2 linked regions of the Coturnix japonica genome follow. The protein of the gene in region 1 purifies or fractionates together with the protein of each later gene. This does not show direct contact. Links are inferred from orthologs where the notes say so. Each region holds a gene or a part of one and is shown on either strand. Other genes may lie near its edges.

Evidence for each region. The genes of interacting proteins can lie anywhere in the genome.
Region 2: the proteins of SRPK1 (region 1) and DROSHA purify together in Homo sapiens (affinity purification with mass spectrometry; 3 studies listed by BioGRID and IntAct, counting the BioPlex papers as one, with this or other methods). This does not show direct contact. The link is inferred for Coturnix japonica from reciprocal best matches to the Homo sapiens genes SRPK1 and DROSHA.

Annotation. Positions count from the first base shown.
Region 1 is NC_029541.1:495,505-502,076, reverse strand, and holds the start of SRPK1 (SRSF protein kinase 1), read left to right. Parts: upstream 1-2,576; 5' UTR 2,577-2,591; coding exon 2,592-2,868; intron 2,869-2,951; coding exon 2,952-3,012; intron 3,013-6,572. UniProt on the Homo sapiens protein: Serine/arginine-rich protein-specific kinase which specifically phosphorylates its substrates at serine residues located in regions rich in arginine/serine dipeptides, known as RS domains and is involved in the phosphorylation of SR splicing factors and the regulation of splicing.
Region 2 is NC_029517.1:60,511,194-60,517,109, forward strand, and holds part of DROSHA (ribonuclease 3), read right to left. Parts: intron 4,905-5,916; coding exon 4,747-4,904; intron 3,921-4,746; coding exon 3,815-3,920; intron 577-3,814; coding exon 435-576; intron 1-434. UniProt on the Homo sapiens protein: Ribonuclease III double-stranded (ds) RNA-specific endoribonuclease that is involved in the initial step of microRNA (miRNA) biogenesis.

The sequences.
Region 1 (6,572 bases):
CTTAGTTGTTCCATGGCACAGAGTGCCCATTGTAGAGAGTCACAGGTAAAATTAATTTTAGATGAGTGGACAACATTTGTTTGTATACCAATCAGACCCCATTTTAATGCAAAACTGGGATGTAAATGATGGATCTTTTATATACAGATCCTATGTTCTGGGCTAAATTCCTTCCTATATGAACAGCTTTAACTTTTGCTGCTGGGCATCATATGGTTTCTTGGTGTGGAATAAAAGCAAGATGGTTCCTCTGAAATCTGCTGCTCATGGCTGCTAAACTTCAGCAATGATACAATGTCTAATGGGAATATTAATATTAGACTATCTGCAATGTGTTCCAGTGAGTTCCTTTCATCCATATTTTTTTTTTTTCTTTCTAATTTAACTTTCTGCTTCCAAGGAGTTTCCCAAGGGAATCTGCTGTTCTGCATGTGTGATCTACAATGGTAACGGATTTTGGTGAACTGTGCCAAGTTACTGCAGAGGAAACAGTGCTGGAGCCCTCGTACCATTTGGACTGAAAGATAGGAAAAACTGAAAGCTCAAATGGTATTGAGTAATTTTCAAACCACATATGCTTCCCTACATTGTTTTGGACAGTGGCTTCATGCCAAGCTCCTCTCAGTCTGTTCAAAACAGTGTAATACAAAACCCATGAAAAGCATAGCCCTCATTTCCAGATTCTGTTGACTCTACAATGGCAGCCTTGATTTAAGGTGAAATGGCATTTGTACCTGGACAGGTTCCACTACAAACCAAAGACTTGAATTTTTTGTTAGCTTGTTGAGCAGAGCTCAGTGTCTTTCCTTCCTACCACAAGACTGCAGAGTGGAACACTGGGGGACAGCTCGGACATCAGCGTGTTAGTTTTCAAATTATGAGTATTCTTGTTTCAAAACAAATACTTCACTGGGAGGAAGTTCAGACAAACCTGGTCGTTTTCCTCTAGAGCTGTACAGTGCCTCAGCTCCTGCATGCATACACAATGCTGCTGTGATTCACCAAGCACAAATCCCTGGACACAGGCTGTGCAGTGACAGAGCACGTACTTTATGGCCAAGGACTCCACCTGTACCTCTAAAGTCAGAGTTGAAAGGCCTGCCTGCAGTAGTGTGTTTGGAGGCAGTTTGATGTTTTCACCTGACCTAGTTGCAACAAATGCAGCTGTTTTGTGCAGACGGCAACTTTCTAATGTCCTTCTGAACTAGTATAAACCCATGACGTTTTCCTAGAAAGGCATGCTGCAGAATCCCAGGCAGCTTTCCCACTGTGCTGAATTACAGGCTGCAGATCCCAGAACATCACCATGCAAAGTGTGTGTAACATTGCCAGCCGTGTTGGCATTTTCTCAACATATTCCTTTTTTCACACATGGCTGCAGAAAACATAAAGCAGTAGAGAAACCTCAGGAGCTGCCCAGAGTGTGGCACAAACAGTTCTTAGGGCAACAGGATGCACTGTGTGACACTGTGTGGGAGCTATGAGGAAGGACCAGGTAAACTGGTTATGTATGGGCATAGTTTGTGGTGGCATTTGCTCTGCTTCAAAAATGAGTGCCAGGCTGGCTGTGGAAAGGTGGCTGTGTTTGGGCCACCAGCCCTCAAAGGGCCGTCTCAGCATCCCTCTGAGGGCCAAATTCACTGAAGTGTGATGCATAGTATTGGACAGGGGTGTGAACATGCGCTGTGAGGACCAACTGCAGAGTCCCAGTGCAAATATGGGACAACAGTTCCCACAGAAGGAACAGGCAGCCAATACACTGAGCTTGCAGCAGTGTTTGTGGTCTATTGCGACTCCTTCAAGGAAGGAACTTTCTTATGTGGCTGCTGTCAGATGTGAGCAGTGTACTCCATCGTGCTCAAGGTCTCAGTGTTACTTGTAGCACAGTCGTTGTGGAAGGCTGAAATTTGAGAGTGAGGGCATCCTTCTCCACGTCGCATCATTGAATTTAATTCTGCTCTGACACTAATGATTATTCCAACCCACATTTCTGATGCCAAGCCTACGAGGGCAGCTCCAAAAGTAATGCCTCCTATTTTGTTACATTGGGCCACGATGCCAAAGGCAGATAGTGGTGGTATGGCAATAGAGGTTCAACCTTCCCTGCAATGTTCTGTTACATTTGGTCAAGCACGACATAGCAGCAGGGGGGCAAAGTGATGTGTGTGACACGAGAGTGCAAATGAAGCCAAGGTGTGTCCCTGAATTCCTCCGGGTGGCAGACATGGCACTGCTTGGCACTCGTTAATGTTTATGGGCACTGAGCAGTGGCTGTGAGCACAGCGTGGGGTGCGTGTCAGTGGGTCACCTCTGCTGTTGCAGATTGTTGTGGACACGGCAGGACAGCTCTTGTTTATCACAGGCAAAAACGCTCAGCTAGTGGCATTAACTATACCGAAAAGCAGCATTTTGTAGGTGAGAATTTGCTCTATCAAACATTATTGTGCTCTTCGTACGTGTTGAAGCGGCCGTGGAAATAAATAGGATGCATTACTTTTGGAGCACGCGTCGGTTGCTGACGTCACAACTACGACGATGACGTCACGCGCGGTGTTCCCCTCCCTCCGCCGCGCGCGCCGCCGCGCGCCACGATGCTTTCGCGCCCGCAGCCGTCGGAGCTCCGCCCCGCGCCGGGCGGGAGGGGGCGGAGCCAGCAGCGCGGCGGGGCGGGCTCCCCGCACAGCTCCGCCTCCAGCGGGGACAGCGGGCACGTGGACGGGGCGGGCGGCGCTGCCGGGCGAAGCGCCAAGCCGCTCGCACCGCGCATGCTCCGCCCGGCGCGGCTCGGCGCGGCGCAGGGTCACGGCGCAGTGCGCAGGCGCGTGGGACTCCCTGGGCTCCCGGCGCTGGCGGCCATGGAGCGGAAAGGTGAGCGCCGCGCGGCCTGCGGGGGGGCCTCGGTCCGGCGGCTCCGCGCCGTCCTCACGTTCTTTCTGTCTCTTTCCTCTCAGTGCTGGCGCTGCAGGCCCGGAAGAAGCGGACCAAGGCCAAGAAGGACAAGGCCCAGAGAAAGTGAGTGCGGCCCCGCTGCCCCTCCTCACCCATCCCGGACGGGCTGCTCGGGGCGCTGGGCCGCTCGTGGGGCGGGAAACGGAGCCGCTTTGTCCCGGTACCGGAGCCCCGCGGCCCCTCCCGCCGCTCCCGGAGGTCTCGCCCTCCCCTCACGCCCCTTTCTTCCTCCTATTAAAATCCTCCTTGGCGCGGTTACGTCGCTCTTTGACGGTGCTGTTTTCCCGTGGCCGCCCTCTGGCCGCAGGGATGTTACGGGGCTTTTCGTGCGCTGAGCTTCACCGCGCGGATAGAGAAATGGAAGGATCTGAACAATGGCCGGCTGCGGGGCTCGTCGCACGCTGCATTCCGTGCTGCACGCGGACCCGGTTCGGGTGTAAAGCCCGGTCCGGTGCTGCGTGGTGCTGGGAGCGCTTTGCTGTCCGCTGGGTGAGAGCACAGAACTGCAGCGTGGTTGTGTTGGAAGGACCTTAAGGATCAGAGAACCACAGAGTAGGTAGTTGGCTTGGAAAGGCCCTTAAAGGTCACAGCCCCATAGAATGGTTGGGTTGGAAAGGACCTTACAGCCCCTTCCGTGCTGTGAGCCGAGTGTCCCCTGAGCTCAGGCTGCCCAGGGCCCATCCGTGGCCTTGAGCACCTGCAGGGATGGGGCACCCGCAGCTCTGAGCAGCAGCCAACACCTCACCTCTCTCTGGTGACGGATTTCTTCCTAACATCTCAACATAAACCTGCCCTTCTTTAGTGCAAAGCTATTCTTCCTTGTCCTGTCACTATCAGGCCATGTAATGGTTCCTACATAAAAGCTTTGGTGGTGCAGGGAGTTCTGTGTATCTTTCTTTACAGCGTGTTATTAGTCACTTCCTCTGACAAATCGTGCTGTTTTAGAGTTTTTCTGTTGCTTTCTGTCTCCAACAGACTTCCAGTTGTTCTGAGAGAGCTCTGGAGAGGTCAAGGGCTGAACCAAGCTCTTTGGGAGATGTGCATTGTATTTCTACGTATGTACTTTGGGCTTTACCTGGTGCAATAAAAGCTCAACCTCCAGCTTTGAGGCACAGCACCCCAACAGTTATGCTATTTAAATACAAAGCGGCTCTGATTAAATCTAAAATAAGCTTTACTGGGTTGTTGTAAGGCTCCCTCCATAACATCTGGGCTCGAAGCCACAAGGAATGTCTCTTTAACATCTTATGTTCAGTGATATTTGATTGCTTACAAGCTTTTCTGTATGAAGTTAGTAAGAAAGTGTAGCACACGTGAGTTTTGAAAGGGTGAAATTGGTGTTAGGAATTCTCTAGTTATGGTTAAACATAAAAATACAAAACTAAACAGTTTATGGATTGAACCATCAACCTTTCAAGCAGCTGGATCTTGAGGTGCGTTGAGGTCAATGGTTTTGCCTGACTGTCAGGAATGCAGGTTTTGGCATGGCTTCATTGTTTGAAGCAGTTTCTGACCCCTGCAGAACTCAGTGCTGGCAGGCAGGTGTGTTGGGCACAGCATTTGTCCCCTCACTGCAAGAAAGACATCAAGGCCCTGGAACATGTTCAAAAGAGGGCAACAAAGCTGGTGAGGGGTCTGGAGCACAGGCCTTATGAGGAGAGGCTGAGAGAGCTGGGATTGTTCAGCCTGGAGAAGAGGAGGCTCAGGGGAGACCTTATAGCTCTCTATAACTTCCTGAAGGGAGGTTGTAGTGAGCTGGGGGTCAGCCTTTTCCTCGTGTCGTTAGGGATAGGACCAGAGGGAATGGCTTCAAGCTGCGGCAGGGGAGATTTAAGCTGGACATTAGGAAGTATTACATCTCAGAAAGGGTGGTCAGGCACTGGAATGCACTGCCCAGGGAGGTGGTTGAGTCACTGACCCTGGGGGTATTCAAGGAACGACTGGATGTTGTGTTGAGGGACATGGTTTAGTGGTAATGGATGAATGGTTGGACTGGATGATCTTCTAGGTCTTTTCCAACCTTGGTGATTCTATAATTTGAACAAGGGTCTGGAGCTGTGCGTTGCTCCTTTGTGTTTGCATGTTGATTTTTCTCCTGTGAACTAATCCCCACATTTTCGTGCTCTGGTCTGCTGTGAGCAGTGGGGAGCCATGCAATGGCTGTTCCAGCAGCACAGGCTTCCATCAGCCACAAGGTGGCTGCTGTGTGTTCTATGGAGCTGGTGTGCTGGAAGCAGTGCAGGTGAGCAGCAGGTTTCTGTTTGGCTTCTGAGTCCTCGGTGGTGTTTGGAGGGGGAGCGTTGCTGGGAGTTAGCTCTGCAGACAGAGCAGCTGTTCCTGGCTGAAGCGAGGCTGGCACTCACCACTGTTCTGTTGGAGTGTCATTTCATGTACTGTAAGTCTTGCATCATGTGAACGAAAGCCCAGGAAGTGGGAAGATAGATACAGGTGGGAAGATTTGATACAAAACAGCTGCTGTTTGACCAAAAATACAAATGCAGGTGTATTTTACTCACATCTCTGGTAATTTGTAATGGAATTAAGCACAATGGTAGTATGTATTTTGCTGGCAGTTGTACTCTGTGGCTCTTTCTATCTGTGTCACAGGCTCGGATCACCAGGCTGTTCTTTGACCCAGGTACTGCTGTGCCTAAGAATCAGGGTTTAAAAAACTAGGCTCCAAAATAACTAGATTGAGAGCAGTTAGACAAGAAACAGAACAAATAGTTCTGTATTGCAGCTTAATTTTTCTGAAGTGAGTAAAATGAGCATTTTAATAGAACCAGGCTGTGAGTCTGCATGCTGCATTAATTGGGCATTTCATCAAGCCTTGTATTTTGCTTTTCTATTCCAGGAAAAGTTGCCCCATCACACGCAAAAACAGCAGCAGCTGTGCATGGGGAATGAGGGGGATGAACTGGTTGTGCCTCAGTGCAGTACACTTTACTACTGTAAGCGTGACTAACTGCAGAGGTAATGGTAGCCATACAGCTGTGGTCTGGGTTCTGAGAAACGTGCATTGCAGTACTTTCTTCTGATGGAGTGCCTGGTGAATCAACCTGACTCGTGGGCTCTGCTGAGTAGGAGGTGGTTTTTTCACAGTTCCTCCAGCTGCTTTTGCTAGAGGAGGGAGGGCAGTGGCAGTGCTCATCTGGGGCAGTGCCACCATCTGCCCTTCTCACTATTACCATTTCTTGGGTGCAGTATTCAGCATCTTCAAGCAGATGGGTTTACAGTTATCTGTAATCTTTTAGACAGACTTTTACTTTGTGCTGAAACCTGTCTTCTTTCTTCTTCCTCTCCAACTGAAAACAGTAGAATTGCTGGATGAAGAACAAGCAGGAAGCTGGTAATCTTCATCTCTTTGTGAAGAGATTACCTGCCTTCTGGGGTGAAGGAAGTTCCCAGTAGCTTCTCCAGTACTTTCAGTTTATTACTGCATGTCTTTCTTGTGTCACTTCTTTGCTGCCTTTGGAGAGCCCTAGAGGCCTTGCAGCCCTCTGGGGTCCTTCAGTTGCTTCTGGAAGGCTTTTCCTGGGATCAGAATCTCATGTTATGTTCTTCCCACTTGTCTTTCATCATTAATACCAGAGCTGCCTTTCTTGTAAGCATTTTGGATGTAC
Region 2 (5,916 bases), on another chromosome or scaffold:
ATATCTCATAAAATGTAGTTAAATGAACCACGGAAATACTCACAGCTGATGGCATTACTTTATTTTTTGATAGTGACAAGAACATATCACAAACACTGAAACTACCATTACAACAGCTTGACTCAATGGCAGGTTTTAACTTTTAAGACATTCTTCTGCTCTAGGCATCATTATCACTACGGTCATCACTTCTAAGATTACAGTTTTGTATCTGCAGTTATACCTCCCTCATATGCTCACATATAGGCTTTAAAAATTCAGGTTGGTGTTTAAAAATATGGTAAGCAGAGATATAGGCATAATTGATTAGAAAATCCAAACATTTCTTTTTAATAGTGATTTGTAAGACTTCTGATGGCTTTCTTAAATAAGCCTCATGGGAAAACAAATGAAGTGCATAAGTACTAAACTGTTATAAAACCACACCGACTCACATTCCAAGAGATCAGCTAGAGTTTTAGTTCGAAGAGCTACGGGTCTTTTTGTCTTGTCATTAGTGATGGCGAACTCTTGCATTCCCAGCTCTTCTGCCACTTTGGCCTGCGTCCTGTTGTTCACCAAAGAGCTTCTCAACAGCTGCAATAGAAGGAATTCCACACAATGGTAACAAATAGCAATACCAAAATATAAAAGGCAGTGAGAGCTGGGGGAAGTTACTCAGTTTATTTTTGCTGCCACTCACTTCCCAGTCTATTGGTGTTTGTTTCAGCACATCCTAAATTATTTAGGTAGACGCACACACATACACACACACACACACACTTCTTCGCATCCTCATTCTTTCTACTGCTGATTTTTCCCTTATGTTTCACTTCTCATCAGATTTTAATCCTTTTTATCTCAAAACATGTTCCTTCTACAGACAAGTCTTACATTTAGAATGCTGGTTTGAGAGTTTTTTTGCATTCACATACCATCTCTTCATCAGTCCTATACTTTCTACTTTTTCCTACTGTACACAAAGTTATACAAACTTTTTCCCACACGAAGTATAAACACACAACACTTGTGAGACTACAGCACAATCCCAAACGTCCACCAAACAAGAAGTGGGCAGTAATTGAAACAAACACACACTGAAGCAAAACTTCAGAAGTTTCAGAAGCAGCAGGTGAGAAAGATGCTCCATTCATTTGGGCAGAGAAGAAAATGCTTATCTGGATAGCCCATTTGCAATATCACACTGTTCTACTGAAGGCAGCATAGCTGAACTAATATATCCCTGATGTAGATCAGGCTCTAAAATTTTTAATGTGTGACAATGCCCAGGATATCTAGTTCTCTAGCAGAGTCTCCAAAGTGCTTACCTCTGATTTTAGGCAGATTGCTTAAATAAACAGAAACCTGTCAAACATAAAATCTCAGATAGCTGAAAGGAGAATTTCAGACTTTCAGGATTCCATTCAATTTCCCAAATGCCTAATAAAGATGAGCTTTATTTTTTTATTTTTTATTTTTTTATTAGATATAGCCATTTAATAAATTCCACTCTTATCCAGAGTCCTGAAGCTGCGTACAACATTTTTACCTCTTTGTCTTCCATGTCACATTTGCACAGCTTATTAGTTCCAAGTTATATTCTACCTGGCTCCAAAATGTCAACTGAGCTTATGAAAATAAAGATTTATTCACTACACTTGATACTTCATCTCTGACAATGGATAAATAAAGAACAGTATGTTCATAATTTGTTCGGCAATGATGTATGAAGCAGATACTCACAGCCTGATCTTCATAAACTAGGCAGACTGCAGAAAGGATTAATACCTTTCTTCCTAACCTATGCTAAAACTCATCTTCTGTTTGCTCCTTTCCAAAATCATTCCTTTTTATGTCCTTAAGACAAACAATCAGTATTATTCCCAACCTAATCCTAACTACAGTATGCAACCTATAAGAAAGAAGCCCAACAAAAATCAAATGACAATTATCAGCTTCTTGAAATGAGAGAACCACAATTTATTTTGCTGCACTGGCAGAATATTTACTGCAACACATCCCAAATCCATGATTAGTACTATCATAAAAGAACCACATACACACTACACAGAGAATTAGAGATGACAAGAGTCAGTTGTACTACTTACTACCCATGACTGCAGCATAAACACTGCTGGAGAAGTAGCTTCCAGTACACAACAAAATTTCATTGTTTTGCTTTTTTTTGACAGATCATTTAGCTGCCTCAAAAAACATCTATAAAATTGCAATCCCTTTTTCTTATATATAGTTAATTTTGACTTTTCTTCACAAGAAATCACTGGATATCAGAAAGACACTGCATAGCCAGTCAAGCAGAATCTTCCCATCACTTACCAACATTGTCTGCAACACTATAGACACTCATCTGTCTGATGTTTCACTACTTCAAATCTCCCCAGGAGGACGGAACCTCATGTTTGCTGTTTCTCTTCAGGTCTCACATCATCCGTCTACTCTTCTCAAGCCTCATTTCATTTGTCCTCATACTTAAAAGACTTTCAAAGACTATTTTCTTTTCTACTGTACAAAACCACAAAATTAATTTTTTTTTTCTAGGCACTGCCTACCTCTCTGTATTGTTATGCACTTTCAGCATTCATTCTACTCTTTGTAGTTTCCCCTGAATCTTGGGCAATGTGCAGCTTGTTCTACTTGCCAATTCACTTATCATTAAATTAAGCAACACAGAGACATTCTGATCGCCGTTCGAGTATTTACACCCATTAACAGCAACACTATGTCCTTCCTGCCAAGCAATTCCTGAAAGATTTATCTTACTATAACAACACTGATGCCCACATTCTTAAAAGTCACCTACAAAGGGAAAAAAAACTGCAAATCTGGATTTCTGCCTTCTGTTTTTGTTTCCTCTGTGAAAAATTAATGACAAGCCTCTTTCCCTTTTAATTTTTACATCAAAAGATCAGGCTTTATCAACTCCTCCTGAACATTGCAGAACAATTCATACAAATGCAAATGAAAGTCAAGAAATGGTAACGAAAAATGAAAATGGGAGCACACATACTTTCTGTTTCTTGAAAACAGCTAAGCAGTGTTTTCTTCAGGAATCTGTCAGAGATTTAGCATCTCCAACTCTTCACTGATTTAAAAAATCCACTTGCAGTAGCAAAGACATCCAAAATATTACTCCCTAATTTTAACTAGAGAACTTGACGTATATCCATAATACATGTAACAATTTTTTAATCTCATAATGACTTGAAAACTAAGAAAAATTCAGAAACATTAAGGAGAGTGTCATCTTCTCATAGTGCTTAATACGAGCTGCAGTACTAAAAGATTCAGTTAATCAGGAGAAAAAGCTACATATCTCACAACCCTATATTTACAGTAGTGTATGTTACTGTAACACTAAAACTAAATTCCAAAGTAACTACAGGGGATCCATATTAAAAGCAATAGGTAAAAAATAGTAAAACATAGTGAGAATTTACTGTCTGGAAAGGAAACTCTACTACCTTGTTGCAGGTTCAATGGAAAATGAAAAAGCACTTATGTGCGTATTTAAATAAATGGCTTTAAACATGTCTTTAAGTATGACCTAATCTTTTCTCTCAGTTTTATAACTGACATCCTTAAAATTATTGATTCATTCCGCAGACAACAAAAATTATTGCACTGAGCTCATAAATCACCATTTCCTACTCACTGCACAACACATGACTTAAAATTAACCAAGTCTTATTAAGAACAGTGGCTGCTGGGGCTTCTTTTATTAATCAAATCTAGAATAATTCACTTGCCACTTCCATAATTTCAGTCTCCATCCCGCACTTGCTTTCCCAGAGACCATGATTGATGGCAGTCTCACCGTTAAGTGCCCTTCATGATGATCGGGGAAATGTATGAATAAATACTCTGTGGCTACCAACTGCATTATGGAGTCACCCAGGAATTCCATCCTCTGATTGTGGCCTCTGAAAAATGAGACATCAATGCAGCAAAATCAATAAGTACTCAGGGAGGAAAAAACAAAAGCAGCATGCATATAGAAATTAAAATAAAGAATGATCTGAAAGCCAATGTTACTTGTTTTTAAACACTTTTAAGACAGATTTCCAGCATTAACACTAGTGAGACGAAAACAACAGAAACTGTTGTAACTCTGACTTTGACTTAGAAAGCAAATCAGGGTAGCACAGTTATTAGATCACAGGTCTAGGACATCTGCTGACATCAGGTTTGTTATGGGATGAAGTCTCTAATTGTCTCTACCCAGTGAGTGCAATGACTTCAGTAGAGAAGAAATTTTGTCCTTTCACAAGAAATAGAAGGATCAGGGTTTAAACCCATGTGAGAGCTTGGACTAGGTATCCACTGGTACAACTATTTTCTTTACAATAGGTTATAGCAGTTAGACACCCAAAGCCAACTGCATGTTTATGTGCTGTACACTCAGCAGAATACAAGGGCTGTAGTTGTCCCCAAAAGCATGACTTTACTTTTTGCCTCTGGCCAAGTGTATCTTCAAGCACATTCGGATAGTTTCAGGAGCAATAACCCAAAGTCAACAGTCCAGGAAGCTCAGAAGATACACCAGTATGGTTCCCTAACACCCACAGAATTCCCAAATTATTCACTACTACAGAGACAGGATACTCAGTGACACAGGCTGGTGAACATTTCTGATCTTCCTCTTCTGGAGAACACACAGATAACCTAGAGTTTGTCAACAAATAAAGCAATGTGGTCTACTAACAGTAGAGCCATTGAGCCCTAAGAGGGCCCTTGCCACATACTCACAGAGTCAGATGGTTAAAGCCTACTGTCCTCAGAGTGAACGCACGTGCTAGAAGTCGAACATGAGTAAAGATGACTCCAATTGCCTCCTCAAACTCTGTAAGCTTTTGAAGAACTGGAGAGGTCTCAATGAGTTGCCTGTCAGTATTAGATTCCTGCAGCTGTAAATAAGATGAAAAGTGAGCAATGACAAACTGGTACTTCAAGATATTTCAAAGTATTTCAAGAATATTTCAAAAGAAAAACAAATGTTTTGTAAAACAAAGTCAGAGAACCCAGTGAACAAGGATTTTTGTGGACAGCTCAAATGAGAAAAGCCAGTTTCCTCTGGGTTTTTTTCTTTCATAATTAGCATTAAAAGAAAACATGAGGTCTGATGAACTTGCTTGAGATTTTTTTTGCCTGTTGGTTTTGGCATTTGTTGGTGTTTTTTTTTAAAGCAACACTTGAGGTATTTATAATTGCTTATATATTGCTTATATGGTCTTGCCCCATGTGAGTAGCATGACAATGAAGCAAGATGAGAAAAATGAAACAAATCTATTTCTCCCGCTTTAGTATTAAAAATGAAGTAGTGTATAAAATTCACAAAAACAAGAAAATTAAAAAGATAACTTTATGTCAGTAAGTGTTCTTATCAGTTTCTTGTCTGATGTCCCTGATGTGTGACATTGTAAATGGCTTCCCAGGACAGGGAAATTACTTAAGCATTTCCTCCAGCAACCCTAGACATTTGTCTTGTATACCAATGCCTTAGAGGAGAAGATAGTCTGATGAAGATGCTTGTAATAAGCATGCAAGCATATTAAGGATTTTCCTGATAACTACCTAACACTCCAATTATCAACCGGAATGGACTTCCAAGTTTTATGCTAAGCATCCTGAGTGATCTGCAGTAGTTTGTGCAAATCTCTTCCACAAGCATGATCACTGTCACGTAAAAGCTTTCAGCATCCCCAGAAACGTTCAGCAACATGTTCCAGATCCACTACCTTTTCCTAAAGAACCAGCTTACTCACTTTTGAACTCTTGCTGTCTGTAATGGAACAGGCAGTAAGCAAATGGCTAACTGCTCATCTACTCATGTTTTGGAGATGCCTGTTCCAGGTCCTCCCTTCCCATCATCCCCTCCCCAGCCTGAAGATCACAGTTTAGCTTGGTTTTCTTCAAACA